Xenopus tropicalis: one gene and its partners. The protein of the gene in region 6 interacts with the protein of the main gene of each other region in a biochemical or structural test. Links are inferred from orthologs where the notes say so. Each region holds a gene or a part of one and is shown on either strand. Other genes may lie near its edges. The genes, in order: pdcd4, odf2, gpbp1l1, cdc42ep3, abl1, lrrk1 and foxp1.

Region 1 (3,996 bases), on a different chromosome or scaffold from region 6:
AGAAAAATGCTGCCTATGACCCCCAAAACACCGTCCCCACCGTCAAGCATGGGGGTGGAAACATTTTGCTTTGGGGGTGTTTTTCTGCTAAGGGCACAGGACAACTTATTCGCATTAACGGGAAAATGGACGGAGCCATGTATCGTGAAATCCTGAACGACAACCTCCTTCCCTCTGCCAGGAAACTGAAAATGGGTGGTGGATGGGTGTTCCAGCACGACAATGACCCAAAACATACAGCAAAGGCAACAAAGGAGTGGCTCAAGAAGAAGCACATTAAGGTCATGGAGTGGCCTAGTCAGTCTCCGGACCTTAATCCAATAGAAAACCTATGGAGGGAGCTCAAGCTCAGAGTTGCACAGAGACAGAAACCTTAGGGATTTAGAGATGATCTGCAAAGAGGAGTGGGACCAACATTCCTCCTAAAATGGGCGCAAACTTGCTCATCAATTACAAGAAACGTTTGGCCTCTGTGCTTGCAAACAAGGGCTTTTCCACTAAGTATTAAGTCTTTTTTTGTTAGAGGGTTCAAAAACTTATTTCACTCAATGAAATGCAAATCAGTTGCTATGTTTTATTTAAAGTTATTTTTTCCATTTTCCTTTTGATGTGCTATCTGCCACTGTTAAACCTACCATTGAAATGATACTGTTCTGAGACTTTTCATTTCTTTGTCATTGGACAAACTTACAAAATCAGTGAGGGGTCAAATCATTATTTCCTCCACTGTATGTATGTATGTATAACTTTATTTATAAAGCGCTACTTATGTACGCAGCGCTGTACAGTAGAATACATTAATATAAACGGGTATTAAAATAGATAAATACAAAGTATTACAATAAGCACAAATAAATGCTGTATCAGCGTGATCGGATGGACACCCTACAACGGTGACCCCCTTGCTGTTATTTCACTCTTGGGCTGTCAGAACCATAAGGAGTGAAGTAGACTGTAGTTCCTCTTCTTCATCTTCCTCATTGGCAGATACTGTGCGTTGCCAGATTAGACTTACAAATATGGCAGATAGATAGGTATCAGTTGGAATACTGGATACCATAACCAAAAACTGTATGTTATGTGCCCGGTCAGCAGAAGGAGCAAATATTCCCATGAATGTTTCTGGGAGAGAGATGGCTGAGGCTTATGCTAGGTCACATAAAAGAGTGGATAATTGGCTTCTGTTGCTAGTTTTACTTACCAAAACCTTATGTTGAAGAACAAGACCCAGAGAAAAGGTAGTTTAGCCAAAAAAAGGCTTCTTTTAATATAAGTCAAAATTACAGAGTCTTACTAGAAGCGTTTAGCCACACAGATTAACAAGTGTCACAAAAGGATTCAGAATGGTTTTAGTAGTCATACCCTTTTATAACCAACTTGTTTAGCATTCACAAGTACCACCTTATTTGTGAGAATCTCATAGGTTATTTCTAACCCACCCCATGAATCCTATAGGTCTAAAGCTAGCCCACCCCATGAATCCTATAGGTATAAAGCTATCCCACACAATGAGTACTATAGGTGTAAAGCTAGCCCACCCCATAAATCCTATAGGTCTAAAGCTAGCCCACCCCATGAATCCTATAATCCTATAGGTCTAAAGCTAGCTCACCCCATGAATCCTATAGGTCTAAAGCTAGCCCACCCCATGAATCCTATAATCCTATAGGTCTAAAGCTAGCCCAGCCAATGAGTACTATAGGTGTAAAGCTAGCCCACCCCATGAATCCTATAGGTCTAAAGCTAGCCCACCCCATGAATCCTATAGGTCTAAAGCTAGCCCACCCCATGAATCCTATAGGTCTAAAGCTAGCCCAGCCAATGAGTACTATAGGTCTAAAGCTAGCCCAGCCAATGAGTACTATAGGTATAAAGCTAGCCCACCCCATGAATCCTAAAGGTCTAAAGCTAGCCCCCCCATGAATCCTATAGGTCTAAAGCTAGCCCAGCCAATGAGTACTATAGGTGTAAAGCTAAACCCAGCCAATGAGTACTATAGGTGTAAAGCTAGCCCACCCCATGAATCCTATAGGTCTAAAGCTAGCCCACCCAAAAGACATTCTGCATGGACAGCATTTATACCATGAGCTGCTCGCTACTAGAACTGCAGGGCAGAGATGAGAGTAATTAAGAAAATTCATCTCTTGTTCTGTACGCCTTTTTGTGTGTATATATCATGCATGCAACACTATATTATTTAATATATTCGTGTATTAAGTGTCCCAATATATCTCACTTACCTTTAGGTTGTCTTTTTTTACACCTGTGGGGGTCTAAAGCCAGTCTGGACTGATAGCAGAGGGTCTGCTCTAAGATACCATAAACAGTTACCACTTATTATACTGGTGTAGGCCCTTTGGGGCATTGTATACTGATAATACCAAGGCCTAATTTAAAGCTCAGTCCAGACCTGGACTTTGGTCCCTTTTAGAACATACCTGTCATCAGTAAGTGTCTCCATCACTTCCATAGTGTAGGCCCGCTAAGGGCCCGAGACCCTCTTGTTTGCCCCTTTTGTTATGTCTCACTGGTGTCTTCCCCACCTTTGAACCCCATATGCATTTGCTTCTATTTATTGTTGCAATAGATAATCTATATTCCATGTTCTTATTCTAGTGCGGCGCTAGATCGGGCAGCAGTGTTACTGCGTATAACAAAGGGAGGGAGAAGAAGAATAGACAGCGTTTGGGGGACTGGCGGAGGGCAACTGCCAGTTAATAAGCTGGTTAAAGAGGTAAAGTGTTCATTAATGTGAAACTGGAGCTAAAATACATTTCTGTGTGACAGTTTTATAACGTAGCTCTTCCCCCCCCCCCCCCGTGTGACAGATTGACTTGCTGCTGAAAGAGTTTGTGCTCTCTGGGGATGTTGTGGAAGCGGAGCGGTGCCTACAGGAGCTCGAAGTCCCTCACTTTCACCATGAACTCGTTTATGAAGTAAGGACTCTCTTTTTATCCTTTTATCATTAGAGAGGTTGGGCACTGATGTTGGGGATCAGTCTCAGTCGGGGTTCCACAGGGGGTCAGTTGGGTTGCCCCTCCCCTTGCTGCTATAACTGCCCCTGCCCTTCTGGGAAGGTTCCCACTAGATGGTGGAACAGTGTTGCTGGGAGTTGCTCCCATTCAGCCACAAGGGCATTAGTGAGGTTGGGCAGTGATGTTGGGGGTCAGGCTCACAGTCGGGGTTCCATCCCACAGGGGGTCAGTTGGGTTGCCCCTCCCCTTGCTGCTATAACTGCCCCTGCCCTTCTGGGAAGGTTCCCACTAGATGGTGGAACAGTGTTGCTGGGAGTTGCTCCCATTCAGCCACAAGGGCATTAGTGAGGTTGGGCAGTGATGTTGGGGATCAGGCTCACAGTCGGGGTTCCATCCCACAGGGGGTCAGTTGGGCCCCCCCTCCCCTTGCTGCTATAACTGCCCCTGCCCTTCTGGGAAGGTTCCCACTAGATGGTGGAACAGTGTTGCTGGGAGTTGCTCCCATTCAGCCACAAGGGCATTAGTGAGGTTGGGCAGTGATGTTGGGGATCAGGCTCACAGTCGGGGTTCAATCCCACAGGGGGTCAGTTGGGTTGGGGTCAGGGCTCAGTCAGGTTCTTCCCATCTCAGCAAACCCATTCTGTATGGATCTGGCTCTGTGCATGGGGGGGATTATTGTGCTTAAACGGTAAAGGCCCCCCAAACTGTCCCACAAAGTAGGGAGCAGGGAATTACCAGGAATGTCATTGTACCCTGTAGCCTTAAGGTTTCACCAGTACCTGGGGCCCAAACCATGGTAACAGCCCCAGCCCGTTATTCCTCCTCCTCCACTTAATGTTACCATTGACATTATCCATTCAGGCAGGTTAGGTTCTCCTGGTATCAGCCCAACCCAGACTATTCCATCTGATTCCAGAGAGCACATTCCCATTGCTGCCAAGTCCAATAGTGGTGATGTGGCATTGCACAGCCTGGCATAGTTCTTGTGCCACTTTGAACTGCACAGTGAGTGTTCCAGCCG
Region 2 (3,996 bases), on a different chromosome or scaffold from region 6:
AAAAGGGGCTTTTTTTTTGGTAGCCCAATGTGGACTGGCAGACTACAGGAGGCTCTATATGGCAGTACACATTATTTTATGCCTCCAAAATGTGCCTTCAAGCCAGAAATTAAAAAATGGGCACCTGCTTTGAGGCCAATGGGAGCAACATTGAAGGGGTTGGTGAGCAACATGTTGCTTGCGAGCCACTGGTTGGGGATCACTGATGTACAGTAAGATCTATATGGATAAGAATATATATATACCAACAGCTCATGCATGCATTTAAGTCCTTGGGAACTAGAAGTGATTTCAAGGTTTAGGTGGCTACCCCTTAGTATAAACCTAATTATCTCTGCACTCAACTGTTGATGGCATCCCTTCAAGGAAGTTAGAAAAGCCAACTTGTCAGTGCTAAAATAAATAACTCCCAGTTCAGATTCCAGTTGCAAAGAGGTTGCTTCTAAGAGCTTACATTGATCCCTAATCTTGTATGGCAGGAAATTCTACTGTAACATTCCCTAATCTGTACTTCTCTGCTGGGTGGGATGCCAGGCACATAGACATAGTTCTCACTGAATCCTATCTCGCTTGTGTACCACTTTTCAGACCTACCATTTTCTCTGTGTCAGAGTCAGACAGTTTCTTCAAAAGCATTTCCTTTTGCTCCATCAGTCGGTATGTCTCTGTCTGAGAGGAACAGAAAAAAAATTCACAGTCGTTACTGCAACCATGATAGAAAAGGCCTATGGCATGCACAACGTTAACCAATTTTACTGCCTTACTCACTCCCAAGCTGTATACAGCGCCTACCTCTTGACGGTGCTGCTCTCTCAGTAGCACTCGCAGGCTCCTGTTGGTGTCCTCAAAGGTATTTAGTTTTTGTAGCAGTAATTCCTTCTGCCTGGTGAGGAGGTTAACATCTGTACTTGTCATCCTCTTTTCCTGCAGACAATAGGGGGGGTTAGGAAGAGGCTTTTTCTATTGAAGAAAGAGTACAAATGTCTGTGCGGGCTACGTACATGCTTTAGTCTCTGAATGGTGTCACTCAGCAAGGCCACTTGTCTCGCTGCCTCTGTCCCATCAGTTTCAGCTTCTAATAACTTAGCCAGAAGATGAGATTTCTCTTCCTGCAGCTGCTGCTTTTGAATTCTAAAATATCACAAGAGAACCCATTATTAAGATAAAACCTGAAAGAATAGAGATTTATCAAGATCACGGAATTAAAAGAAACCAGTATTTAGTTCAGAATTGACTGTATAATTAAACAGTCTGCCCAAGGGGAACTCTGCATTTTATTACCCTAACCATGATAGTGGGAATGTTTTCAGGTAGCACATGCACCTGTGCACCACATTCAAAAAAGTACTTCCTCTAGTATTTATGGAACGTGATTTACAAAATTTGTAGAAAGAAGGTTTTGCTATCCCAAGCCTTGCAAGTTAGTCTCTCCCTGGACTTGCCAAAGCAGCGCCTACCAATAAGAACCAATCGGTTCTGTGGAGTTAAACCAGAGTAGGCTGGCTGGACATTAGACTTAGAAAGGAGAGCTTCTGTCCTAGGATTACTGCAAATACTTACATACTTAATCCCTTCTCTTCCTGGATTCGATCAAGGTTTCTTTTTAGCCGGACATTCTCATTTTCTGTCTCTGCAAGTTCCTGGGACACCTCAGCCAGTTCCTCCTGCTGGGCCTCCAGTAACCGCTTGGATGCAGCAAGTTGTTCTTCACATCTCCCCAGATATTTTTCCCTTTTCTGTAGCTCTAACTAATAGCAGACAATGTTGGCAGGGACATTGGTCTTTTTTCAATGTATACTCTGATTACCCCAAAAGCAGGCCTGCAGCCCACCCATTACCCTCACCTCATGTTTCAGCGTTCCCATTTCACTCATCAAAGTGGCAATTTTTTCCTCATAAGAGTTCATCTTGCTGAGCTTCATTTCTTCTTCATCTGTGGACAGGTCACTCAGTCTTAAAGCTGAAAACATTTTTTCTGTATCTGGAGGTGTGATCTCTAAGCGATGGGTTAAGCCCTGCAGGTGGAAGGCATAAGCAGCCGCCATTTTATAGGGGAATTTAGGCTCAATATAAATTTTTGGTATGTTTAATAAAGAGAGACATAATCTAGGTAACTTTGCAATCACTGACTGAACATTAATTTTACTGATATCTCCTTTACTTGCACTACAGGAAGCAGCAACTGTCTCTTCAGTGGCCATTAAGAGCAGGGCAGTGCCCCAGATAATTCTGTAACTTCCCAAACCCCTTCAGTACTAAAAACAGGCTGCAGAGTTAGCATATGTATCAATTATAAGTAAAAGGCAATATACCTCCCACTTTAAACTTGCATCTCGCAAAGAGGACTTCCCGGGTGGGATCCATGGAACTTTGGTCTTCACAGTTGCACTCCGCCGGAGATTTCCCATCCCTCCTTTCTTTTTTAGCTTAGCTATGTGCTGTGCAAAAGACAGGCAAAACATTTTAAGTTGCTGAAGTTCATTATTAAGATGATTTCTAACGTTATGATGCGTCTAGATCAGTATTTGGTGAGTAATATCCCCACCTGTGTCTTTGCAGGGGGTCTGGAAGCCTTTTTAATATGGACATGGACTGGCGTGCTTTCATCGACATGAACATGCAGCGGTGGAGATGGAGAGCGGTTTTTCATTGCCCTCTTCTGGAGGGAGCACTATCAGCAGTAACCGGTGGCAGATCTACAACACATAGCAAAAAACACAAATTGATGCATGACTTTGCTCCATCAGTGTTGCTCGAAATGTCACTTCTAGGTGCAGTGGCTTTGTCATGTTCTTGCACTGCATTATGGCATCATCACAGATAGGACAACATCTTTTGGTGCCATTTTACTATAAAAAAAAAAACTATAAAATGGGCGTCCAATTGAACGTAATCCTTGTGAGTTCCTAGGTGGGCTATCTCTGATCTCTGGTGTATTGACTTTTTTTCTGCCTGTTCCAGACAATGCTTGTCATATGCCTGTCTTTTGTATTAAGCTGATACTTTTGTTGCTTGAATTCTTCCAATTCTCTATCCCCTCCCACCCCACCCCAGTGTTTGTGTTACTCCTATGTCTCGTTTTTCTTTACTTCCTGGCAGCCTCGCAGCATGGAATATGAAGAAATTACAAAATAATAAATTGATCATTAGGAAAAGATCTCGATTTATCCAGATCTCCTTTATCCAAAAAGCTCCCAATTACATGAAGGCCATCACCCATACACTCCATTTTAATAAAATCATTTGAATTTTTAAAAATATTTTCTATGTAATAATAAAACAGTACCTTGTACTTTGATCCCAACTAAAATATCATTAAATTAAATCTTTAAACAATACAATCTGTAAAACAATACAATACTATTGGGTTTAATTAATGTTTAAATGATTTATTAGCAGACTTGAGGTATGACTATCCAAATTACCGGAATACCCAAGGTCCTGAGCATTCTGGATAACAGGTCCTATACCTGTACTATGTAAAACTATCTTCTTAAGGAAGAGACAGTCAATATGGGAATTCCTAATCCTGAAAATGGCTGAAATGTCAGTCCCTTGCTCAGTGACGTGATTAATTGGAATGTCATACAGATGGCTCTGTATTTAGTTATATTTTCCTTTTTTGTGAATCTCTGTTCCACAAAGCTATATGAGCTTTGGTGCCTAAGGCACAGATATATGACAAAAAACATAAAAACCTGTCTTCCTCTCTTAGAATTTTGAAACTACCATAAGTCACTTAACCAAAAATGAAACACAAAACTCGGTAAAAGGATGAACTACAATTTTGTTAGTTATTCTACACTCAAATTCATACCAAATGCTATAAAACTATTACATTTTTCTTAAAAATCAGTGATTTATTCTGTAAAAATTAATCTATATTTTTGCCAATGCACATTATACAGAAGAAAAAAAACCTGACAGATACAGGTCTTGTATGTGAAAGCAACTGGATCTAGGGACTACAATAAAAGGATGGAATTAACAAAAAAT
Region 3 (4,623 bases), on a different chromosome or scaffold from region 6:
AAAGTTTAAAGCTTAATAACTACTACCCCATTGCCATAAGGACAATTTTTAAGGTCATTTTTGCCTTAAAACTGCAGTATTTTTAATTCCTTATCTTTGATAAATTGTAAAATCTGCAACATCTGTATAGTAAGGTTACAAAAATGCAGTAGTGCATAAAGGAAAATGTACCAGCACATGAAAGACATAAACAGTAGACGCCCTCAAATCATACACCACTTTGCTCACCATTGTTATGTGCTATTTTCATGTAAAACATTTTTATATACATTTTTCCTAATGCTCATAACTTCAATTACTGTGACTTCTTTGTGTGTGTGCTTATTTGTTGAAATTGTGGATGTTACAAACCAAGCACATGTATTTATGATAATATTTGAATATGCTTGTTTGTTTATTAAACTGCATGTTTATTTATAAAAACTGTATTTTCTACAGCCATAGGTCAATAACTCAGAAGGACTGCTTTTCTTTCATTAGTGCTAAGTATATTTGCTCATAGCAACCATTCATATTTTTTTTCTTTTAATTTGTAGAAAACCAGTTTATTTGGTTGCTATGCATGGCAGGACTATTGCACTATAGCATTTACATTTTGTAAGTAAACCCCCGAAGAATAAAAAGAATTGTAAATAAAGTTGAGTTTTTTGTTTTTTTTTTCTTTGCAGTTACTGCTTCCCAACTGAGGTGCCATGTTGAAAGAGGGCTGCTGACGTTTTCTTCCCCAGCACTGCAGGAATTCATATTCTGGAAGTGTATTTATCATCTGTCCTCCTCTGTGATTTACACTCAGTATTTTGGACTTCGCACTACATTACTGATGTTGAATTTAAGACAAGAAGATTTTTTTAAGTCCTGCTGTTTTTTGCTTCAAAAAGTGTTTATAGTGACCGCAGCAAAATATTGTTAGCTGCCTAGTATACAAAATAGGTGTAGTCAAGATTTTAGATTCTCTTTGCTCTTTTTTGTCATCTCTTTGTAGTCTTTTGCCTGATTAATGAAGGCACCAAATGGCAGCATTGTAGGTTTGGCAAGACAAGCCTGGGCTTCTAGTGGACTGTTGTTTGAAGGCCCTGGTTATATATATAACTAAGAAAAACTAAATGGGCAAACTGGTATGACCCACAACCATTCCACATTAATTGAAACAGAAGACTCTTTAATGAGTTGAACATCATACTTAGGATTTTTTTCTGCTCTTGCATTGACTCCTTATTTTATCCCATGTGAACAGTCTGTTTCACACTTATTTTTTCCCCCTGTGTTGCTGAAACAATCTGAAAGGATGAGCACTTAAAAAAATAAAAAGTTTGAAAATAGAAGCTGGCATGTAGTAATAGGGTATTAACCCTACCAGCCTTTTGGAGGGGCCCTTTATACCCCCTCTAGCCAAGGAATAAGAAACATATCTGGGAACTATTGCCTTTAAATAACAAAACTGGAAGGATTGGCCTGCAGTTCTCAAGGTGAGGGGTAAGTAACTGTTTTTATTATATACTTAATAATTGCTACATTGCTCATATGTGGTCCAAGTAAGAGCAACTGCTAAAGCACTGCATATAGTGGCACCCCGCAGAACAGCAGCTGCATGTAAAATGTAGTGGAATACTAAGGGGCCGATTCATTAAAACACAAGTTCGAATCCCGAATGGGAAAAATTCGGATTGGATACGATAATTTCTGAAGATCGCAAATATCAAGAAAATGCTTACGAACAAAATCGTAATAGTCACGATAATATCGTATTGGCGATCCGAAAGTCATTAAATTTTCGTACCGAACGATTGTAAACAGCAGTATAACCTTTCTGAATTTTTAGCGCGGGTGTACAGAAAAGTTGCCCAAGCGCGAAAAAAACGGCAAAAATACGATCAGAGCGTTCGAATGAACGCTCCGAGCTTTCGTGTCTTAATAAATCTCCCCCTAAGTATCAAACCACTGTTTTGCATCTTAACCATGCAGACTGTAGAACTGGGAAGAAAAGCTTTTTTGAAAGGATTTTGGTTGCTGAACATAGTATATTATAGTAAGGTAAGATGGTGACTATAAAGGTGGCCCTACACAGGCTTATAAAGGATGCCAACTCAGCCTCTAAACTAAGTGGGGTAGATATCTTACAGGTATTATCCTTGTGGGCCCCATGGCTCACAATTCAATTCAGCCTGATTTCACCCAGTATGTGGGTAGCCAACTTGGGCAGAGATATAAAAACTATATGGAACTTTAGGCTGGTTTTCCCTATGCTGTGGTCCTTGAGCTTTTTTTTTTTTTTGTGCTAATGTCAGCAGCCAAAAACAGCCTTTGGTTAAAAGGCTGTTGGTTAAACCACTTAAAGGAAAACTATACCCCCCCAAACAATGTAGGTCTATGTAAAAATATTTTTACAGAAAATATTGCATAAACAAACTCATATGTAAAACCCTGTTTCATCTACATTTTTATAAAAATATACTTTTTAGTAGTATGTGCTGTTGGGTAATCCTAAATAGAAAATTGCCATTTTAAGAATTAAAGGACAAGGAAAGTCAAAATCTATTAAGCACACTATTCAATAGTACTACTCATATGTAAAACCCTGTTTCATCTACATTTTTATAAAAATATACTTTTTAGTTGTATGTGCTGTTGGGTAATCCTAAATAGAAAATTGCCATTTTAAGAATTAAAGGACAAGGAAAGTCAAAATCTATTAAGCACACTATTCAATAGTACTACTATTGCTTTGTAAAAATGCTATATTTCTGGCTTGCCTAATGAAAGATTTACAGAGATACACCTACTACATACTCGTTTCAGTGAATGGCGCCGCCATCTTTAATAAGGGATTCCCACTTCCTTTCCCTCACCGTCTCTACTGCGCATGCATCCCCAACATCCTCCTGCATCCCCTCTGCGGCTCCCCCAGAACCCCACTGCTGCGTACTCGTACTCGTTTCAGTGAATGGCGCCGCCATCTTTAATAAGGGATGCCCACTTCCTTTCCCTCACCGTCTCTACTGCGCATGCATCCCCAACATCCTCCTGCATCCTCTCTGTGGCTCCCCCAGCACCCCCCTGCTGTGTCCTTCTGTGTGTGGCTGCATTCTCTTGTTATGGCCCCGGCTCGCCCCTGCATCCACTTTTTATATAGCGCGTCACCATAGCAACCGGACGCTTGCTATTGGTTCATGCTCGTAGTGGGAGTGACAGAGGGTCCGTGGGAAGGGAAGCGATCCTGCTTGTGCTTGCTCACAGAAGATCTAAATGCTTACTAAAGAGCTGGTCTTAGTCTCGGTGCAGGAGCGATGCATTATGGGAATCTTCTCTACCCAGCTCAGCGTTTTTTCTTCCTGTTTGGCTTCTGATCATCTAACCGGTTGAAATATGGGGAGGCTTAAGGGCACTATTGAGACAACTGAAGGTATGCCTGCAGCTTGAGATTAACTCTTTATTAGCATTTCCTTCTCCTTTAAAGGCCACCTCCTGGTATCATAGGATTCACAGTGCACACAAACAAGCCAAGGCACACATACATGCTAGGTTATCAGCCAATGAATGGACAGAGTTCTGTTTTCTGCTTCCACAGCCCAACCAATCAGCAGAACAATGGGAAGGGAGCAAGATAGCAGCTCCCATTAGATATCAGAATAGCACTCAATAGAAAGAAATCAAAGTCTGGCTTGCGACTCCCCCAGTTATTTCCTTTTTCTTTGTAATTATAAAACAGTACCTTGATCATAACTAAGATATAATTAATCTTTATTTGAGGCAAAACAATCCTGTTAGGTTTATTCAATATTTAAATGATTTTCAGCAGTCTTAAGGTATGGAGATCCTAATTACGGAAAGATCCCTTATCCAGGAAACTCCAGGTCGCTAGCATTCTGGATAACAGGTCCCATACATGTACTACACGTTTTTATTTTTGTCTTTTGTTGGTAGTATTAAGATGCAGTCATTTGTACTCTGTACAACTAGCCATGTAACCTACAGCTACTCACTGTCTCCTTAAAGGAGAAAGAAAGGCTTATAAAGAGTTAATCTCAAGATACAGGCATACCTTCAGTAGTGCGCATATGTCTCCCCATATTTCTCCTGGTCAGATGATCAAAAGGCTGAGCTCTGTAAAGAAAATTCCCATAATGCCAGCTGCTGCACCAAGACCCCTGTACATGCCCAGTTTGTAAGACTATGAGGAAGTTTCCTGCTGATTGGCTCAGATCACACATTCCTAAGGGGGGAGGGAGTACTTAGCATTCTTGAGGAAGGAGGGAGCAGTAGAGAGGAGAGAGCTGTGCAGACTCTGGCACTGGAATTACAGAGACAAGAAATCCTGTTTCTTTTGATAAAGGACAGTGCAGCGTTTCTGTGAGTGCTTATGGCTGTATTTACATAGACCTTTCTGATAAAGCTTACTTAGTTTTTACCTTTCTTTCTTTTTCTTTAAACTCTGTGGGTCTGCCCACATGCTGGACCTCAGGGTGGGGCTTGAACATTGAAGGTGTTAAATCTACTGTTTTAAATAAATTATAATATTGTGTATTTTTTAACCCTATTATGTTTAACAAGTTTTTATAAAAGTGTGACATCAGTACAAAAGTGTCTAAGATATAAGCTGACTTCATTTAATGGGATGCAAAGTTT
Region 4 (4,792 bases), on a different chromosome or scaffold from region 6:
TTTCTATCTGATGGTTGACTAATTGAGGCCTTATTCTGTAGCCTAGAAATTTGTTTTTATTAGAGTAAAAAAATGGTCAGTCACCAAAAATTCATATACATTACAAAAATGAATTACACTAATACATCACCAAGGCCCCACAATGTACCAATACACACACAGCTGTAAGAATTCCTATTCTTCCTGCAGAATCCTGAGCATGCACACAGACATATCCTGCTACGTGCAATAAAATATATACTCACTTCCTACCATCTCTCCATACACTTCCTTCTAAGTCTAAGGGCACACAAGGAGATATGTGAGCATTTTGATGTCACTACTTTTCCATGGATTGGCATATATATATATATATATATATATATGGACTTGTTGCCTATTGGTTCCTTCTATACACATCTGGAATTGGCTGAAGCAGTTCTGCCAAGTATTATGCAATTAGTGTGCCAGTCATGCTTTCAGACCTGCCCAAGCTGTAAGGGTTAAAATCATGCAGCTGCAAAATCCATGTCAGTCAACAACCTAATTGGCTAACTGATCATCAAGTAACTGGCCAATCAGGTTAGTATAGCAGAAAACTGCAAAAAGTGACTGTTCGCAAGTCCCACTCATCCCCCACCCTCCCTTGAGGCCTGCAGAGCAGCAATGAAATTGCTTTTGGCTCTTAGGTATTAGTTAGGGGGGCACTGGAAGGGGTGGCATTTTGTAGCACAAAAAATGTTGCGTCAGTTGTCTAATATGGGGGGTTGATACATTCTGACATTTCTGCTGAAGTAGGACATCCATATTACCTCCATAGACAGCTATGTTTTCTGATGATAACTGAGCAGCTGTGCAATACTTTAGGAGAATCCAGTTGTCCCCCGTAGGAAACAGTAGTCACAAATCCATGTCTTTCACCCTAAGGTGGTTACACATAATATAATCAACATGTCTCACTAATGACTCGTCCCTAATTCTCAGTCCATAAAACACAAAGTATTCTAATAATGGGCAGGCACAGGCAAATTGCCCTGCTAGGAGACATTTCTGAAATAGCAGCCACTGTCCTCCCTGTATTGGGTTGAACTGGTGAATAATATTCATATCACCGCAATCAGGGCACACCTATATCTCTGTGCCTACAATGAAGAAATAATTAAGCGCATTAATTCTGCACTATAAAACCATAATGTAAGCATCCACAGGGTTGATTCGCTATGCACGTTATTAATGAATGTCTTCCACAGCAATTAAAGATGTGTAATTAATTTTCACACAAGCAGGAGAAATATTGTTTGTTCAGTGGAAATATAATAGAGCAACACACACCCACATTCATTAAACAAAGGCTTTTATGCTGAGCTGCAATCAGACACCCATGTAGTTATTAGAGAAACAGACGAGTCGCTGGGCTGGAATGAGGAGCATGCATATCTGTACACATTCCTCTGCTAGCATCTCAAACATGACATGCTTGGCCTCTGTCCATATGGTTAGAATAAAGTACTAAGTGCATGGATAATAAGGACATCTCCATCAGCGCTGCCTTTAGTGGTGGGGCCCATGGCAAGAGTCTAACCTATGGTCTTAACTACAATTTCCATGTCGGGCTGTTGGACAGTGCTGGGAGTTGTACTTTAACAGCAACATAAGGTTGGGCAACAGTGGCATTACATGCATTACTCACGAATCAAAGACCTGCTGTCCTTCACTCTTCTGACCTTGCACCACTCTATCTTTTTTTTTATGTTATATTTCATTAAATCCTGTTCAGCTATTGGTTTCATTCAAAATCCTAGTAATTAGATTTCACTGATGACAAAATATAATTGTGCTCATAAGTGAACTGGCCAGTAGCACAGATTAGCTGACATTCTGCCAACAACGTGCTATTTCTGTCCTGACTCTCTACTCAAACAGGGGGCACATATGCAATACATGAATGCTTTAACATATCAGCCACATCTTCAGGGTCATGCAGGCACAGACCCCTAGCCCACCCTTGTCTTAACCCTTGTCTGGCAGACCTATAGGTGCCTTAAATCCCATGTATTATTATTTATTACCCTTCATTTATACACAGTTTAGATGCCATATTTAAGTTAATGCAGAACTGTTCAGTAGATCCCAGTCACTAATAGGTTACAATCTGATGTATTTATCTATTTTTAAGGAGGGGGGTGGGCTGAGACATACAGAGATTAAGTGACTTGCCCCAGGTCACAAAGAACCATCACAGTTAAAGTGCAGGTCTGACTCCTGAGTACCACAGACTTAACCCTTTACAACCTATAGGAGCTTGAGATGATAGATACCTATAGTGTATATTTTATTCATTTTACATTTACATTTATATAGTGTATATTTTATTCATTTTAGGCATATATGTCTCAAATGCAGCCATATATGAGGTAAATACTGTTTTCCCCAGAAATCTAGGAGGGCAATAAATCCAGCACCCATTCTCTTAATGGAACACCGGATTCCCAGGGGGTTTAATTATTTTTTTCGGTACTATGGTTCCATTGCTGTATGATTAGGGCAGCCCAGAGAAGCAGTGTGACTGTGCAGAGCCCTATATTACAGATATCATCATTCTACATAATTCCAATATGAGATTGATTGGTATTCAATAGGGGGTATATGAACGATGCCAGCGACCAAGCCTACTGACTTACCGCTCTGTGCCAGGGAAATGCTTCTCTCTCAGCTCAGATCGCTTCCCCGATCCCGATTCTCCCAATACAATGTGGGGATGGATCGCTCAGTTTGCCGGCAGCTTCCTTCTGTCTGGCAGCGATTAAAGAGACCCCAGCGTTAAAAGGAGCAGAACAAGGGCAGCTGCTCCCAGACACCTCCCTTCTACACCAGCCGAGACGCGGCACCATTTACACCTGTGCCAGTCCTTCAGTCGCCCAGACCCGGCTACCAGATGCCTCCTTGGTCTGTCAGAAAAGAAAGCAGGGTCCGCATTTGCCCATTCACCCTGCAAAGTTCTCTGTATTCGGCACTATGGGGGCTGTTTAAGGCAAAAGGGTGGCAGCGCAGGCAGTCGGAGTGGAAGGAATCTGAATTAGATGCCGGTTGTGAATGAATCGCTCGCTGCTGCAGTGGAAAAGCAGCTAATGAAGCTCTCCCGGCTCTGGCTGCTTTAGTCAGTGGCTCGGCTGTGGGATAGGGGCGGGGCCATAGCAGCTAGTGGCTACATTCTCTGGTAATCATCCAGCATGGCAACCTCACTGCTCAGCAGCCTGCTACTCTCTACTGTGTGTGTGGTAATCATCCAGCATGGCAACCTCACTGCTCAGCAGCCTGCTACTCTCTACTGTCTGTGTGGTAATCATTCAGTATGGCAACCTCACTGCCCAGCAGCCTGCTACTCTCTACTGTCTGTGTGGTAATCATACAGTATGGCAACCTCACTGCCCAGCAGCCTGCTACTCTCTACTGTCTGTGTGGTAATCATACAGTATGGCAACCTCACTGCCCAGCAGCCTGCTACTCTCTACTGTGTGTGTGGTAATCATCCAGTATGGCAACCTCACTGCTCAGCAGCCTGCTACTCTACTGTCTGTGTGGTAATCATCCAGTATGGCAACCTCACTGCCCAGCAGCCTGCTACTCTCAACTGTCTGTGTGGTAATCATCCAGTATGGCAACCTCACTGCTCAGCAGCCTGCTACTCTACTGTCTGTGTGGTAATCATCCAGTATGGCAACCTCACTGCTCAGCAGCCTGCTACTGGCTACTGTCTGTGTGGTAATCATCCAGCATGGCAACCTCACTGCTCAGCAGCCTGCTACTCTCTACTGTCTGTGTGGTAATCATACAGTATGGCAACCTCACTGCCCAGCAGCCTGCTACTCTCTACTGTGTGTGTGGTAATCATCCAGTATGGCAACCTCACTGCTCAGCAGCCTGCTACTCTACTGTCTGTGTGGTAATCATCCAGTATGGCAACCTCACTGCCCAGCAGCCTGCTACTCTCTACTGTCTGTGTGGTTATCATCCTGTATGGCAACCTCACTGCTCAGCAGCCTGCTACTGGCTACTGTCTGTGTGGTAATCATCCAGTATGGCAACCTCACTGCTCGGCAGCCTGCTACTCTCTACTGTCTGTTTGGTAATCATCCAGTATGGCAACCTCACTGCTCAGCAGCCTGCTACTCTCTACTGTGTGTCTGGTAATCATCCAGTATGGCAACCTCACTGCTCAGCAGCCTGCTACTCTCTACTGTGTGTCTGGTAATCATACAGTATGGCAACCTCACTGCTCAGCAGCCTGCTACTCTCTACTGTCTGTGTGGTAATCATCCAGCATGGCAACCTCACTGCTCAGCAGCCTGCTACTCTCTACTGTCTGTGTGGTAATCATCCAGCATGGCAACCTCACTGCTCAGCAGCCTGCTACTCTCTACTGTCTGTGTGGTAATCATCCAGTATGGCAACCTCACTGCTCAGCAGCCTGCTACTCTCTACTGTCTGTGTGGTAATCATCCAGTATGGCAACCTCACTGCTCAGCAGCCTGCTACTCTCAACTGTCTGTGTGGTAATCATCCAGCATGGCAACCTCACTGCTCAGCAGCCTGCTACTCTCTACTGTCTGTGTGGTAATCATCCAGTATGGCAACCTCACTGCTCAGCAGCCTGCTACTCTACTGTCTGTGTGGTAATCATCCAGTATGGCAACCTTACTGCTCAGCAGCCTGCTACTCTCTACTGTCTGTGGGGTAATCATCCAATATGGCAACCTCACTGCCCAGCAGCCTGCTACTCTCTACTGTCTGTGTGGTAATCATCCAGCATGGC
Region 5 (4,504 bases), on a different chromosome or scaffold from region 6:
GGGCCCCGGGGCAGTACCAGGCACTACTGTGGCCTATTTGTGACAGCCCAGGGCCCCGGGGCAGTACCAGGCACTACTGTGGCCTATTTGTGACAGCCCAGGGCACGGGGGCAGTACCAGGCACTACTGTTGCCTATTTGTGACAGCCCAGGGCCCCGGGGCAGTACCAGTCACTACTGTGGCCTATTTGTGACAGCCCAGGGCACGGGGGCAGTACCAGGCACTACTGTTGCCTATTTGTGACAGCCCAGGGCCCCGGGGCAGTACCAGGCAGTACTTTATAATGCACACAGCCTGTCCCTTTATCTCTAGAACTGAAGGAGGTCAGGATAATTGCCTTTCTGAGTGCCTGGGGGGGAACAAGAAGAATAATTTCCAGATGAAGCCGCCAGTTCAGCGGCGCAGGTGAAATGACCTCTGGCCTCCCTTTTGCGATGGCTTTCTCTGCTCCTCTAATAATAATTCCTATGGCATTCCCATAATCACTATTTCCGTCTCCCCGGGTGCTGAAATAGTTAATGAGAACAGCAGGCTCTCTCTCCCCCCCCCCCTTTCTGCCAATAATGGAACGAGCCTACATAATAGCCAAATCTCTCGAGTGAAGCCAATAATTTCAATGAAGGAAATCACGTCCGAGTTAATGAAAATGATTAACACAATATTCCTGTTTATGCGCAGCCGACCCCGCCACGGCGATTTGGTTCCGCTGCCGATAATAAGCGCTCGCACAGACAAAAAAAAAAGGGAGAAATTGGACAAATAGTGATGTTTTGCAATAAGCGCCGGAGGGAGAGTAAACAGAAAACTTTCTGTCAAGCGTTGCTGGGAGGCGGGGCTTGGGGCTGCGGGGAGGCGGGGCTTGGGTGTGCGGGAAAGCAACTGGTAGCGCCACTTGCACTTTGCCATATTTAAAGGGGATATAAACCCAAATATAAAAAGTTGCCTAATGACAGAAAATCCAATTCAAACCAACTTCTCAATATCAATTCATCCCTCGCGGTCACTGGTTACAAAGCTATCGGTAACTGTATTCGCTCATTATGCTCTGCAAGAAGTAATTGAGACAATTTGCAATTGGTTTTCATTTTTTTTGCTTTGTGTTCAGATGCTCTCCCAGTTTGGTAATTCAGCAGCTATCTGGTTGCTAGGGTCTTGCTTACCGTAGCAACCAGGCACTGGTTTTAAATTTGACACTGAAATATAAATAGTAGAGGGGCTGAATAGAAAGATAAGTAATAAAAAGTAATATTAACAATAAATTGCAGCCTCGCAGAGCAATCGATTTAACTATAAAAAAAATATAAGCAATGAAGACCAACTGCAAAGCTGCTAGGAATAGGACATTCTATAACATACTTAAAGTTAATGCAAAGGTGAACCATCAATTTAAGTTGGCCAAATTGACCAATTTGGCCAAAGTCAGCAATGTATTGGCCTGTGTATGGGGCCCCCCACCAAGGGGTCTGCCTGCATGATATCTGACCAAGAATGGACAGGATATCGATTGGGCAGGGTTAATGTTTCCATCCTAGGAGAAAATTGGTGTGTGAATGTGGTCCTCATCTGATGGGCCTGTAGGCCCCCAGGCCAATGATTGGATCAGTCCAATTTGGCCCTATGTGTGGGTGGCCAAACTGGGCCCAGGTTTGTTAAGATGCGTGAGTGGGTGCTGCCACACTGCTTGCCTAGGCTGGGGCACTTTCCATAGGGAGCAAAGGCCCGAGACAGTAAATGCATGGGTGAGGACCCTCAATTGGGTCCTAAGCTGTATATGGTAACTTGGGCCCCCTGAGAAAAAGTTCAAGAAACCGTGGCCTTGGACAAGGCAAACAATATGGCTGCTGCCACTCGCACGTATAAACAAACAGAACCCGATGGCTTTGTGGGTATAACAGAAGGTTTCCAGGCCTTTGGCTACTCCATCTGTTGCCCCCCATGGGAGAGAGTGGGTTATAGAATGGATTCTTCCTTCCGTGACGCAAGTGGAACAGTAAAACTGCAGCCTGAGGACACCAGAAGAAGTGAAAAATAAACTTGCGGTGGAGCGGGGGCCGAGGGGAAGGCGGGCAAGTTGGCAGTGGGACTTAGTTCCCACAGGTGGAGTGCCAGCCCCAGATGACAGCAATCCTCGAGGGGCACTACCTATCGACCCCCCATCTCCAGGAACCCCATGATCAGCCATTCCTAAGCAAACGCATGACAGGATGTGGGAAATGCTATAAAAATGTATTTTTTTTTGGCCAGAAAACGCCCAACATCGGGTCGAGTGGTTGTTTTTTGAACTTTGGGCCAGCTGAGGATGCTGGGAGTGGTAGTGACACAAGCTGCACGGGGTTAATTAACCCCTTTGTTGCTAGGCCGTCCCAGCTAGCCAGCGCCAGGCAAGCCTGAATGTTTATGTAATCCTTGCCTGGAGCGAGGGGGGAAGCAGCCTTCATCTAATCTGTGCTGAGGCCTAGGAGAAGGGGATTAGAGATTGGAGCACTCCAGCTGGCTGCGGCCAAATCCTGGGCCAGTGGAACCCCCTCCTTTCTGCCTCCGCCCAACCCCTTTTCCCCACTGACACCCCCTTATCTCACCTTCGAGATAGCAGCTGGAGGACGAGGAGAGCCCTTTCTTGGATTTGCAACCCACCAACTTCAAGCAGATTTCCAACATTTTCATGTGTTGCATGCAGGATGCGCCCGCTCCCTTCTGCTGCCTCCTGCACTTTTTCTTCCCTTCCCCACCCTCCAGCATGCGAGGAGAAGACCAGCTCGGGTCAGGCCACTTGGCCCTGGTCGATTCCAAGTCTGTTTGACGCACTTGGGCTGTGGTTCACTCCCCTCCTTTATGGAACTGGAAAGCAGCAAAAGCCAAAGAGAAGCAAAGAAGCCCAAGGCCCCCGGCTCGGAGAGGCTCTCTGATGCTTTGGGTGGCAGGGATTCACGCCACCGACCCCTGGGGGTCAATCTCACCCATTTTTATAGGAGGGGGGGTCCCGGAGGCAGAAAAGTGTAACTTGGGTACTCTTCAGGCTAAGTTCTTGCAGAACGGTGGGACTCCTCCGCTGCTCATTCTCTCAGTCCATTAGGCAGGCTGTGTTAGGCAGGGAGAGCTGCTTACGTTAGACTGCCAACAAAGGGCCCCCTTCATGCTCTGGCTGCCTCTAGTGATGACATCCGAGGTCTGGCAACGCCTACATATGCACAGAGCATTGTTAACCCTGTCCTGGATGCTCAGCCCTCCAGCCTGACGAACTCTCTCCCAATATCCCAGGCTGAAAGTTAGTGGGGAGACTTGTAATTCAGCTCTGATTGATGGCTCTGGTTATGGGGACCTCAGACTCCCCCCATCTCTGCATAAGATATACAGGGGGATACTGTGCACAGCACTGAGTACAATAGCTATTTGCACACAGAAAACGATAAGGGGATATTTGGGCTGAACTGGAATAATGATTACTAATAAGGTGATTTCCATGCATTTTGTATGGTGGCCCTTGAGAGATAATATTGCTAATAGATCCAGATCGTTCCAAGTTTTTAATGATAAAAAACGCCTGCCTCCTGTAGTGCCCTGGCTGGCAGCATTATAGATATATCTGGTTCTGCAATACATTTAGTATCCTCCTAAAACCCATCCTGGTCTTCAGCAGATCTAGGACTAAGCCAGGTAGATACCTGCATGGGTCTGTACCCCCCCCACCCTGCTATACCCCCTTCCCAGACCTGCAACCCAAACCTATCCACAATGAGTTAAATTACCTTCCAACCCTGTAACCCAGGAAAACCGGAAGTGATGTCACCGTGGGCCGAAAGTGACATGAATCCGGAGGCAGATCAACCAGTTAAGGGCAACTAAATAGCATTACCATTGGAGGTGGGAGAGCAAGAATACTTGCTCACTAGAGCAGGCTACCCAACCAGGATTTGGACTGCAAAGTCCTAATCTGCTCAGCAAGGCCTGAGTAACCATCTTTCCTTGTGGCGGGTATATATGCTGTACTACCTTCCCTATTAGAGAGGTGAGATAATGGAATCTCAAGCAGAAGAAAGCTTACACACACAGTTTACAGCAGAACAATGAGGAATTCTCATTCATATATTAATGAACTATGGAACTTATGAGTTTCAGGAACATTCTCCAGCCAAATCCGAAATAATCTATATGCCAGCCAATGCATTCTTCTAGGCACAGGAGCAGTAGGAGGTGGGTTACCTTGATCAGTTACGGCAGGGATGGTCATTCAAAAGCCCAGCCTGAAGGTCACTAGGGGTTAGATTTGGGTGTGATATATCTCTATTGTAACTAATTTAGAATGGTTGATAAACTGATATTTTCCTGTGTCTGTAGCCATTACATGAGCTAAAGGTGGCCATACACGGGCCGACTATAGCTGCCGATATCGGTCCCTTGGACCGATTCGGCAGCTAATCGGCCCGTGTATGGGGAGAGCAGAGCGGCCTGGCCGACCGATATCTGGCCTGAAATTGGCCAGATCTCGATCGGCCAGGTTAGAAAA
Region 6 (3,996 bases):
TACAGAAAGCGGAGCATATCCACTTATAGTTAAATTGAATAAATTCTGTATATTCCCACCTGTTATTGGCAACAGGAAGAGCAATCTCAAACTTTGCCAGGAACTGAAAATATTGCTCTTCAGTCTGTTTGGTGAATCCAGTTCCAACCAGCAGCATTCTGAGATCTTCTGCCTTAATCACCCCATTCCGGGCCACAGACTTGGAGCTCTTAATGTTAATAATCCTCTCCAAACATTCTGACAACCAAACAGGGTCCAAGAAGTAAAGGTTTCTTAGGCCATGGCTAGTGTCAGGAAAGTGAAGCAAAGTCCCAGTTTCTATCAAGAAACCGATCGCTGCAGGATACAGAGAAGAAAAGGAAATTAATGATATTGCCCCTCCCACAGGCAGGGCTGCCTTTAGTGGTAGTGAGAATCACAGCAAAACAGTGAGGCCCCATTCTTTTTTTTTTTTTTTTTAGCGTCTGTCGTAAACAGCTCTGCCTAAAGCCACTAAAAGAATGAAAGCTGTATAGTAGCTAAGGGCAGGAAAAACCACATATATCAGAAACCTTTGCCCCAAATTATCCTAATATATAGCTGATATATAGGAAAAGAAATACCCCACATATGAAGATGCTAGGTACTAGGTGGATGCCATCCCGTGCCTTTGCCCAAAAGCAATAATAATTAATAACCTGCATTGTAGAATGTAAATAATGCAATATAAATACACAAGCTAGCACAGATAATGCCCTAATTAAAAATGTTCCAATGCACATACTGATTCTCACTCATTCAATTTGGGTCACATACCTGCCTGCATGTCTTCATAATCGCGTATATCGTTTCCAGGGCTCTGTTCAATAATCTGTTCTATCTGCTCATCAGTCAGGTATTGTACCTCATCCCCTTGAGCTCGTCTCTGCTGCTCAGCTACCACAGCCTCCTGAAGGTTCAGGTAGCTTCTCGGGATCTATTTGCATAACCAGAAAAGACAGAGATTTTGGATAGAGGATATGACCCCATCACCAAAAGGTAATTATATAAATTTTGCGGCCACTGCAAAGAACTGATTCTGGTGTTAAGACTGGCCATGCTTGAGAGATATCCCATGGAGTATTTTGAGCCAATAATATTTTTTTGACTCAATTAATCTGAAATATTGTTTGTAGAGCATAAAACGTACCAGCCTTCCCACTAGTTTTTGGGATCCAATGGTACTGCCTACATCCCTCATATTGCAGGCAGCATGGAATATCAGCTGGCGCAGACCATCGAGTCCCTCCAATGTTTTGCAAGAGAGTTCACTGAATAGTGAAAGCCAGAGGAAAGAAAATTACATAAAAATTGTAACATAACATTAAACACCCTTAAGTTAAAATGTGCTCACTGTAAGTGCTTGAAAGTGATATCAGGGAACCCAGTTGCTCTGGAGCCAGATGGGGAGCGACACAATGCCAGAACATAAGCTCGAAGAGTGGCAATTCTCTCCAACCGGAATTTGGTTTCTATGAAGTCAAGGTGCGTCCCTACAACCAGAACAACGGCATTGGGAGCTTTTGCCTGGAAAACAGATATCAGCTTTATCAAACAATCTGGCTACGTCAAAAAATCCAGTAACAGATAAAATAGATGAGGTGGCATTAGTAAGATTGGCTGCATGGTAACTTTTTACTTTTCTTTACAGCTCTATACCATTATCAGTATTAAGCTAACATTTTAGCACCCCCCAGAGATTGTAATTGCTTACCTTATCCCTTGGCTGGTGCTCCTGTTAGCAAAAAACCGCAATAGCCCGGGGTAGCAACAAGACATTGATCCTCTTCTTCTCCTGTCTTTGCGTCACTTGTGTATGCGCAGTAGAGTGAAAAGCAGAACTTTAACAAAAAAGTCAGCATTTTAATCCTACTGCACATGCGCCAGGAAGCGGAAGAATGAAGACGGACAGAAGAAGATCGCTGTCTCACAGCTACCCTGGGCTGGAGCACCAGCGCGGGGTAAGCAATTACAATCACTGGGGGCTGTTTTTCCTTCTCCTTTAAGCTTTAACACTCTAACCCAGAGACAAGATCTGATCTCATTATAGAATTGGAAATTCCACTTTCCTCCTAAATATCATGCCTACAAAATTGCAGCTGTGTGTCAACACTTTAATAGGCCCGAATGAGTTGCCTAGACATGGGCAATATGGTATAAATAAATTAATAATCTTTTATGTAGTCAAATATACAATACAAGTATAGGATTTATTATCTGTAAACTCATTGTTCAGAAACTTCTAAAATACAGGAATGTTTAAGCAAACAATTTTTCTTTGACAGGTTTCCTTTTTCTCTGTTATAATTACTTGATGATAAATATTGGAACATTAATCCACGGTGGTGGCAAAATAATACTATTTTTTTTTAAATGTTTTCAGTAGGATTAAGGAGTGTTTTCCTAATTAAGAAAAGGCCCCTTATCCGGAAAACTGTAGATCCCAAGAATTACACATAACAGATACCTTGCCAGTATTGATCTTCTTTGACACATGCAGATAGTTACCTCTTACCTCTATGTTCAGTAGCCAGAACTGAAGATTGGCAACAGCCTCCTCGCCAAGAGCAAGGTTCCAGACTACCACATACAAGGCTTTGTCAGTGAAGAAGCACTGGTTCACAGCGGACATTGCATTCGAACCTCCAACGTCCCACACATGGAACTGCACAGAATCAACCTACTTAAGCAAAAGGGAGAGACACGAAGGGCTCTGTGTGAAGGCAGGTTACTCAGTACAGACCTTTGTAATAATAGAATGAAACACAGTAAGAGTGGTTAATTGACTAATTCCATAACATAGTCAAAGCCAATCCAACCTTCCTTTTAAATCTTCCTATTGTTTCCCCCCACACACACACCAAACTACTAAGAAGAGAGGCTTGTAAGGTGATTTGGCAATGCTTTAAAAATATGTTAGAAGGCATTACATATAAATTAAAGGGGTCCATATGTATAGCTGCAAGCCTTGTTATAATATCCATCTTGTGGTAGAAAATAAATTTGACATTTCTTTAATGCTAATCAGATACATACAGAAACATCATCAATATCTAAATCAACTGCAAAAAAATATTTGCCACAGGTTGAAAGTGTGGGTGCATTAAAAAATTTATATATATATATTGGTTCCTTTTTTCCTAAGTGGTGTACAGGCTATCTATAACCTTACTGGGACTAAAGGTGCCCATACACCTTAAGATCCGCTGGCTTGGTGATGTCGCCAAGTGACCGGATCTTCTCCCGATACCCCCCATCTACGAGTGGGCGATATCAGGAGAATCCAGGCTAATTCGATCATTTGGCCCTGGGGCCAAACGATCAAATTATAATGACGGGCACAGGCAAAGTCGGTCCGGGGACCGCATCAACAAGCTGATGCAGTCCCTGATTCGACTAGATTTTCTAACCTTGCCCGATCGAGATCTGGCCGATTTCAGGCCAGATATTCTAACCTGCTCAATCGAGATCTGGCCGATTTCAGGCCAGATATTGGTTGGGCAGGCCCATCGGTAGTCCCCATACACGGGCCGATCAGTCTAAGGGACCGATATCAGCAGCTAGAATCGGCCCGTGTATGGGGACCTTAAGTTAGGTAAATCCTTAATGGAGAAGGATCTTGGGGTAATTGCAGATAAAAAACATGTGTGCAGCAGGAAATGTCAGACAGCAGCAGCAGCAATGTTCGTCAAAATACTGTCCTGTACTTGAAGGGGTAATAAAGGTAAGGTAGGATCTATTTAAAATATGGAGTGCAGTTTGCGTTTCCATCATATAATTCATTAATAAAGGGATATTGTCATGATTTTTTATGGGGTACTTTTTAATTCTAAATTACACTGTTTACATAGCAAATAATTCACTCTACCATTTAAAATTATTCTTAATTTCTTAATTATTCTTAGTTTTAATATTGGTGTGTAGGCGCCATCTTAGTGCATTGTGCCCGAGTCTGATATTTAAAAAGATGCCAGCGCT
Region 7 (3,996 bases), on a different chromosome or scaffold from region 6:
AATTACCCCTTATTGGGGGCAGAACAGCCCTATTGGGTTTATTTAATGGTTAAATGATTCCCTTTTCTCTGTAATAATAAAACAGTACCTGTACTTGATCCCAACTAAGATATAATTACCCCTTATTGGGGCAGAACAGCCCTATTGGGTTTATTTAATGGTTAAATGATTCCCTTTTCTCTGTAATAATAAAACAGTACCTGTACTTGATCCCAACTAAGATATAATTACCCCTTATTGGGGCAGAACAGCCCTATTGGGTTTATTTAATGGTTAAATGATTCCCTTTTCTCTGTAATAATAAAACAGTACCTGTACTTGATCCCAACTAAGATATAATTACCCCTTATTGGGGGCAGAACAGCCCTATTGGGTTTATTTCATGGTTAAATGATTCCCTTTTCTCTGTAATAATAAAACAGTACCTGTACTTGATCCCAACTAAGATATAATTACCCCTTATTGGGGGCAGAACAGCCCTATTGGGTTTATTTCATGGTTAAATAATTCCCTTTTCTCTGTAATAATAAAACAGTACCTGTACTTGATCCCAACTAAGATATAATTACCCCTTATTGGGGCAGAACAGCCCTATTGTTTTAGCAGATTTGGAGATCCAAATTACAAATAGACCCCTAATCCGAAAACCCCAGGTCCCGAGCATTCTGGATAATAGGTCCCATACCTGTAGTACATTATAGTTTCATTACTTTTATAATTACTTATATAAACGGAGGGAGGACGTCCTAATCAGCCCATGCACAATGAACTGCCCCAATGTTTTACTCTGCCCAATCCCCAAAGCAACTATTACCCATTGTACGTGGATATCTCTTGGGTGATAATAATGTGATAATCATTATACCCATATACCCTTACAACATGCCCCCTAAGGGTGCGGAAGGGAAGATTCTCACCACCAGAAGTGACATTAGCCTTATAATAGCGCCAGAAGGAAAGGTTTGCTCACTTACCTGCCTAATTAAAGATGCGTACGTGAAGGGTGGTCTGACTTCAGCATTTTTGTAAAACTCTTGGTTCTGTGCAATGTCTGGCAACGACAGAAAGTCAACAGAGATCATCCAATCTGAATGCAAGGACAATATTGTCATATAGCAACTGAAACAGAGACAGTTTCTTCATCTCTCTCGAAGCATTCGGGGGGGGGAAAAGACCAACTCACCGGAAGAGATGGGCACGTTGTATTTGTCAGAGTACCGCCGCCGGATGGGCCCCACGTTGTGGATGCTGGTGGTAGTGATGACAGAAGGTCCTTGGGTGATGGGAGTGAGTGGCGCGGTTGGGGTGGTGGGAGTATGAGGTAAGCTTTGTGGGGACGCTTCTGACACTGTCTTTGAAAGGGTGGCACTCGATACTAGGTTCAGCTGGGGAGAAAACACCACATAAGAACAGGGCTTAGTCCATTGACACTAACTTGCCTATTCTACAGGGATATAATCAGCAAAAATACAGCCTGGAAACAAGTGTAACGCTTAGCAAAGTCAAGAAGTGTTGGGAAAAAATGAATTTATATAAACTTGGGTAGAGAACCAATATAGCTGTGCCTCTTTCCTCCCTCTCATTAAGCGGCAGTTAGACAATGCTTAATGGCCAAGATTCTAGCTATCTGTATAACAGAGCATTCTGTCACAGAAGTCATAGATCCCCCCATTGTAAGCCGCAGTCCTGCCCTGCTTTATGGCTGAGATTCTAGCTATCTGTATAACAGAGCATTCTGTCACAGTGGCACAGATCCTATCTGATCCCCCCATTGTAAGCAGCAGTCCTGCCCTGCTTTATGGCTGAGATTCTAGCTATCTGGCATTCTGTCACAGAAGTCACAGATCCTATCTGATCCCCCCATTGTAAGCAGCAGTCCTGCCCTGCTTTATGGCTGAGATTCTAGCTATCTGGCATTCTGTCACAGAAGTCACAGATCCTATCACCCATTTGTACATCACTATAGCATGCACGGCTCACAAATAAGTGAAATATATTTTTAAAAAGTGAAAATACCGGATGGTTAAGTGGCACCTAATAAAACTGGCCCTAGATTGTGCAATTGTGATGGGGACCTTGGACTATAAGCTCCACTAGGGGAAGGGACTAGAGTGAATTTTATGTATATATATCAGCCCTATATCAATAAAGGATAATAATAATAATGATAGTACCCCTTTAAGTATGCCAGTGAATCCTTCCTCCAGCTGTTGGCTACTATAGATCCATCCATTCTCCCTACTACATGTAGTGTACAACTGCTGGAAGAAAACGTGTGTTTGAACGTTCTGTGCGCTTAAACATTACCGCTCACACTCACACAGAGGGTATAGTGAACTTTCAGCCCTACTCACCAATAAATCATGGCGGCTGGCAAGTTTAAAGCCTGACCGGCTTTGGGGGATATTTAAACAACCTGCCACTTTGTAAACTCTACCCATACGAAGGATCTAACCAATTAAATAAACGTTCTTATTTGTTGATTAAATACGATGTCAACCCCCGTGTGTCGCCTCAACGCAACGTCCGCTCACTCTAACCCCCAACTCCAGCGGAATGCAAACCCACCATAGGCGCCTAGGAGCTCGCGCTCCGTTCTTACATTAAGCAGAACACCGTTATTAATTCAACAATGTTCATTTCATTTTTTTCCCCCCCCCGTCCCAGGCTACTTTTTTTTTTTTTTGGAAAAATATCCAGAATCTATAAATCAAACACTTTATACAGCGCCGTTAAACACTGCAATCATTCAGCCTTATTACCGTGTCACGGGTTTTTATTTCTTTTTACAATAAATTAGTTATACGTGGAGAAATTCTGCTACAAAAAAAAAAAGCGCATAACCGTATTATTTGCCATTAAATATAATTTGCCAGCCTGACTTTGGAACCGTGCAAGCCTGAGCCAAAATATTAGGTCATGTTACAGAAAGGTATATGGTATTAATCATATAAATTCCAGTATTTCATTAATTGATTTGGAAAAAAAAAAACGGGACCTTATCAGAACGTGATTGAAACATTAGTTCCACGGAGGACAAGAAACACGACCGCTCCAACGGGGAAATGAAGCTTCTCTTTTTCTACAGAAATATCCATAGTTGGGGGTTCACAACCTTGTTGGAATTCTAACACAGACTGGTTTGTATAAACGAAAGGGAGGGGGGGAAAAAAAAATACCCAGCAAACGTGTTATAAAGAGAGAAATCGGAATTGCGGTTCTTTTCATACACGGTGACCTCGCGGGTTTCCTCCGCTCACGTTACCGGCCCAGTCACTGTTGTGATTTCACGATAACCCAATAGTACAGATACAAGTCACGCTGTATTTTAATAGTCTATTAAATAATTGTCGGTGTTTTCTTTTCTCCTGTTAAATGGGACACAGATGTTCGGGTTTAGGTACGCAAAAAAAAAAAAAAGTACAGAAGTGCTAAAAGGTGGTTTTCTTTTACTTCTTACACATAAAGGGCAAGTACATTGACTCTTTTGACTCTAAAAAATATTTGCAAATAGCACGGACGCAACTGGGCATATTGGACAGGGTAGCATATACCATTGACTATCACTTCCTAAGGGTTGATAGAAGGGTGAGATACAATGAAGTAGCAATTAAAGCTAGAAGGGGAGGATTGGTTCTATTTAAAAAAGAAAAAAGTAAACTTAGATCAGTAGGGTGATTATAAGTCATGTATAGAAATCTGGTCAAAGTAAGGGGCCTATGATTAAGTGCGCATGCACAAAACGCGTCAGGTGTATTTTAAGAATATGAATAAAGACTAAAGTTTTACGATATTTCCTGGCTGTCCGGTGTGCTTTTGCAAGCCGTTTTTCGAAGGATTTGATTGGTTCCCTCAGGCTACGGGTTCAGGGCTCTAGAGCACCCGGACCACATACAGACGGGCGGTGAGTTATGCCTTACTGTGTGATTACTTATTGGAAGTTGGAGTTAGATGCACTCGGTGATGGGTCTGGGGTATATACACCCGGGTCAATAC

What was found.
Region 1: the proteins of lrrk1 (region 6) and pdcd4 form a complex in vitro, tested with the Homo sapiens proteins (2 studies listed by BioGRID and IntAct, with this or other methods). The link is inferred for Xenopus tropicalis from reciprocal best matches to the Homo sapiens genes LRRK1 and PDCD4.
Region 2: the proteins of lrrk1 (region 6) and odf2 form a complex in vitro, tested with the Homo sapiens proteins (2 studies listed by BioGRID and IntAct, with this or other methods). The link is inferred for Xenopus tropicalis from reciprocal best matches to the Homo sapiens genes LRRK1 and ODF2.
Region 3: the proteins of lrrk1 (region 6) and gpbp1l1 form a complex in vitro, tested with the Homo sapiens proteins (2 studies listed by BioGRID and IntAct, with this or other methods). The link is inferred for Xenopus tropicalis from reciprocal best matches to the Homo sapiens genes LRRK1 and GPBP1L1.
Region 4: the proteins of lrrk1 (region 6) and cdc42ep3 form a complex in vitro, tested with the Homo sapiens proteins (2 studies listed by BioGRID and IntAct, with this or other methods). The link is inferred for Xenopus tropicalis from reciprocal best matches to the Homo sapiens genes LRRK1 and CDC42EP3.
Region 5: the proteins of lrrk1 (region 6) and abl1 form a complex in vitro, tested with the Homo sapiens proteins (2 studies listed by BioGRID and IntAct, with this or other methods). The link is inferred for Xenopus tropicalis from reciprocal best matches to the Homo sapiens genes LRRK1 and ABL1.
Region 7: the proteins of lrrk1 (region 6) and foxp1 form a complex in vitro, tested with the Homo sapiens proteins (2 studies listed by BioGRID and IntAct, with this or other methods). The link is inferred for Xenopus tropicalis from reciprocal best matches to the Homo sapiens genes LRRK1 and FOXP1.

The regions. Positions count from the first base shown.
Region 1 is NC_030683.2:2,639,683-2,643,678, reverse strand, and holds part of pdcd4 (programmed cell death protein 4), read left to right. Parts: intron 1-2,616; coding exon 2,617-2,734; intron 2,735-2,828; coding exon 2,829-2,936; intron 2,937-3,996. UniProt on the Homo sapiens protein: Inhibits translation initiation and cap-dependent translation. May excert its function by hindering the interaction between EIF4A1 and EIF4G. Inhibits the helicase activity of EIF4A. Modulates the activation of JUN kinase.
Region 2 is NC_030684.2:22,723,844-22,727,839, forward strand, and holds part of odf2 (outer dense fiber protein 2), read right to left. Parts: intron 2,697-3,996; 5' UTR 2,651-2,696; coding exon 2,546-2,650; intron 2,439-2,545; coding exon 2,313-2,438; intron 2,016-2,312; coding exon 1,845-2,015; intron 1,749-1,844; coding exon 1,561-1,748; intron 1,132-1,560; coding exon 1,002-1,131; intron 925-1,001; coding exon 793-924; intron 670-792; coding exon 595-669; intron 1-594. UniProt on the Homo sapiens protein: Seems to be a major component of sperm tail outer dense fibers (ODF).
Region 3 is NC_030680.2:90,222,832-90,227,454, forward strand, and holds the start of gpbp1l1 (vasculin-like protein 1), read left to right. Parts: upstream 1-1,414; 5' UTR 1,415-1,473; intron 1,474-4,623. UniProt on the Homo sapiens protein: Possible transcription factor.
Region 4 is NC_030681.2:42,298,214-42,303,005, reverse strand, and holds the start of cdc42ep3 (cdc42 effector protein 3), read right to left. Parts: upstream 3,085-4,792; 5' UTR 2,661-3,084; intron 1-2,660.
Region 5 is NC_030684.2:12,823,712-12,828,215, forward strand, and holds the start of abl1 (tyrosine-protein kinase ABL1), read right to left. Parts: upstream 3,141-4,504; 5' UTR 2,740-3,140; coding exon 2,580-2,739; intron 1-2,579. UniProt on the Homo sapiens protein: Non-receptor tyrosine-protein kinase that plays a role in many key processes linked to cell growth and survival such as cytoskeleton remodeling in response to extracellular stimuli, cell motility and adhesion, receptor endocytosis, autophagy, DNA damage response and apoptosis.
Region 6 is NC_030679.2:115,738,899-115,742,894, reverse strand, and holds part of lrrk1 (leucine-rich repeat serine/threonine-protein kinase 1), read right to left. Parts: intron 2,699-3,996; coding exon 2,534-2,698; intron 1,546-2,533; coding exon 1,373-1,545; intron 1,290-1,372; coding exon 1,169-1,289; intron 956-1,168; coding exon 796-955; intron 337-795; coding exon 60-336; intron 1-59.
Region 7 is NC_030680.2:140,892,219-140,896,214, reverse strand, and holds part of foxp1 (forkhead box protein P1), read right to left. Parts: intron 2,262-3,996; coding exon 2,175-2,261; intron 1,386-2,174; coding exon 1,184-1,385; intron 1,088-1,183; coding exon 975-1,087; intron 1-974. UniProt on the Homo sapiens protein: Transcriptional repressor. Can act with CTBP1 to synergistically repress transcription but CTPBP1 is not essential. Plays an important role in the specification and differentiation of lung epithelium.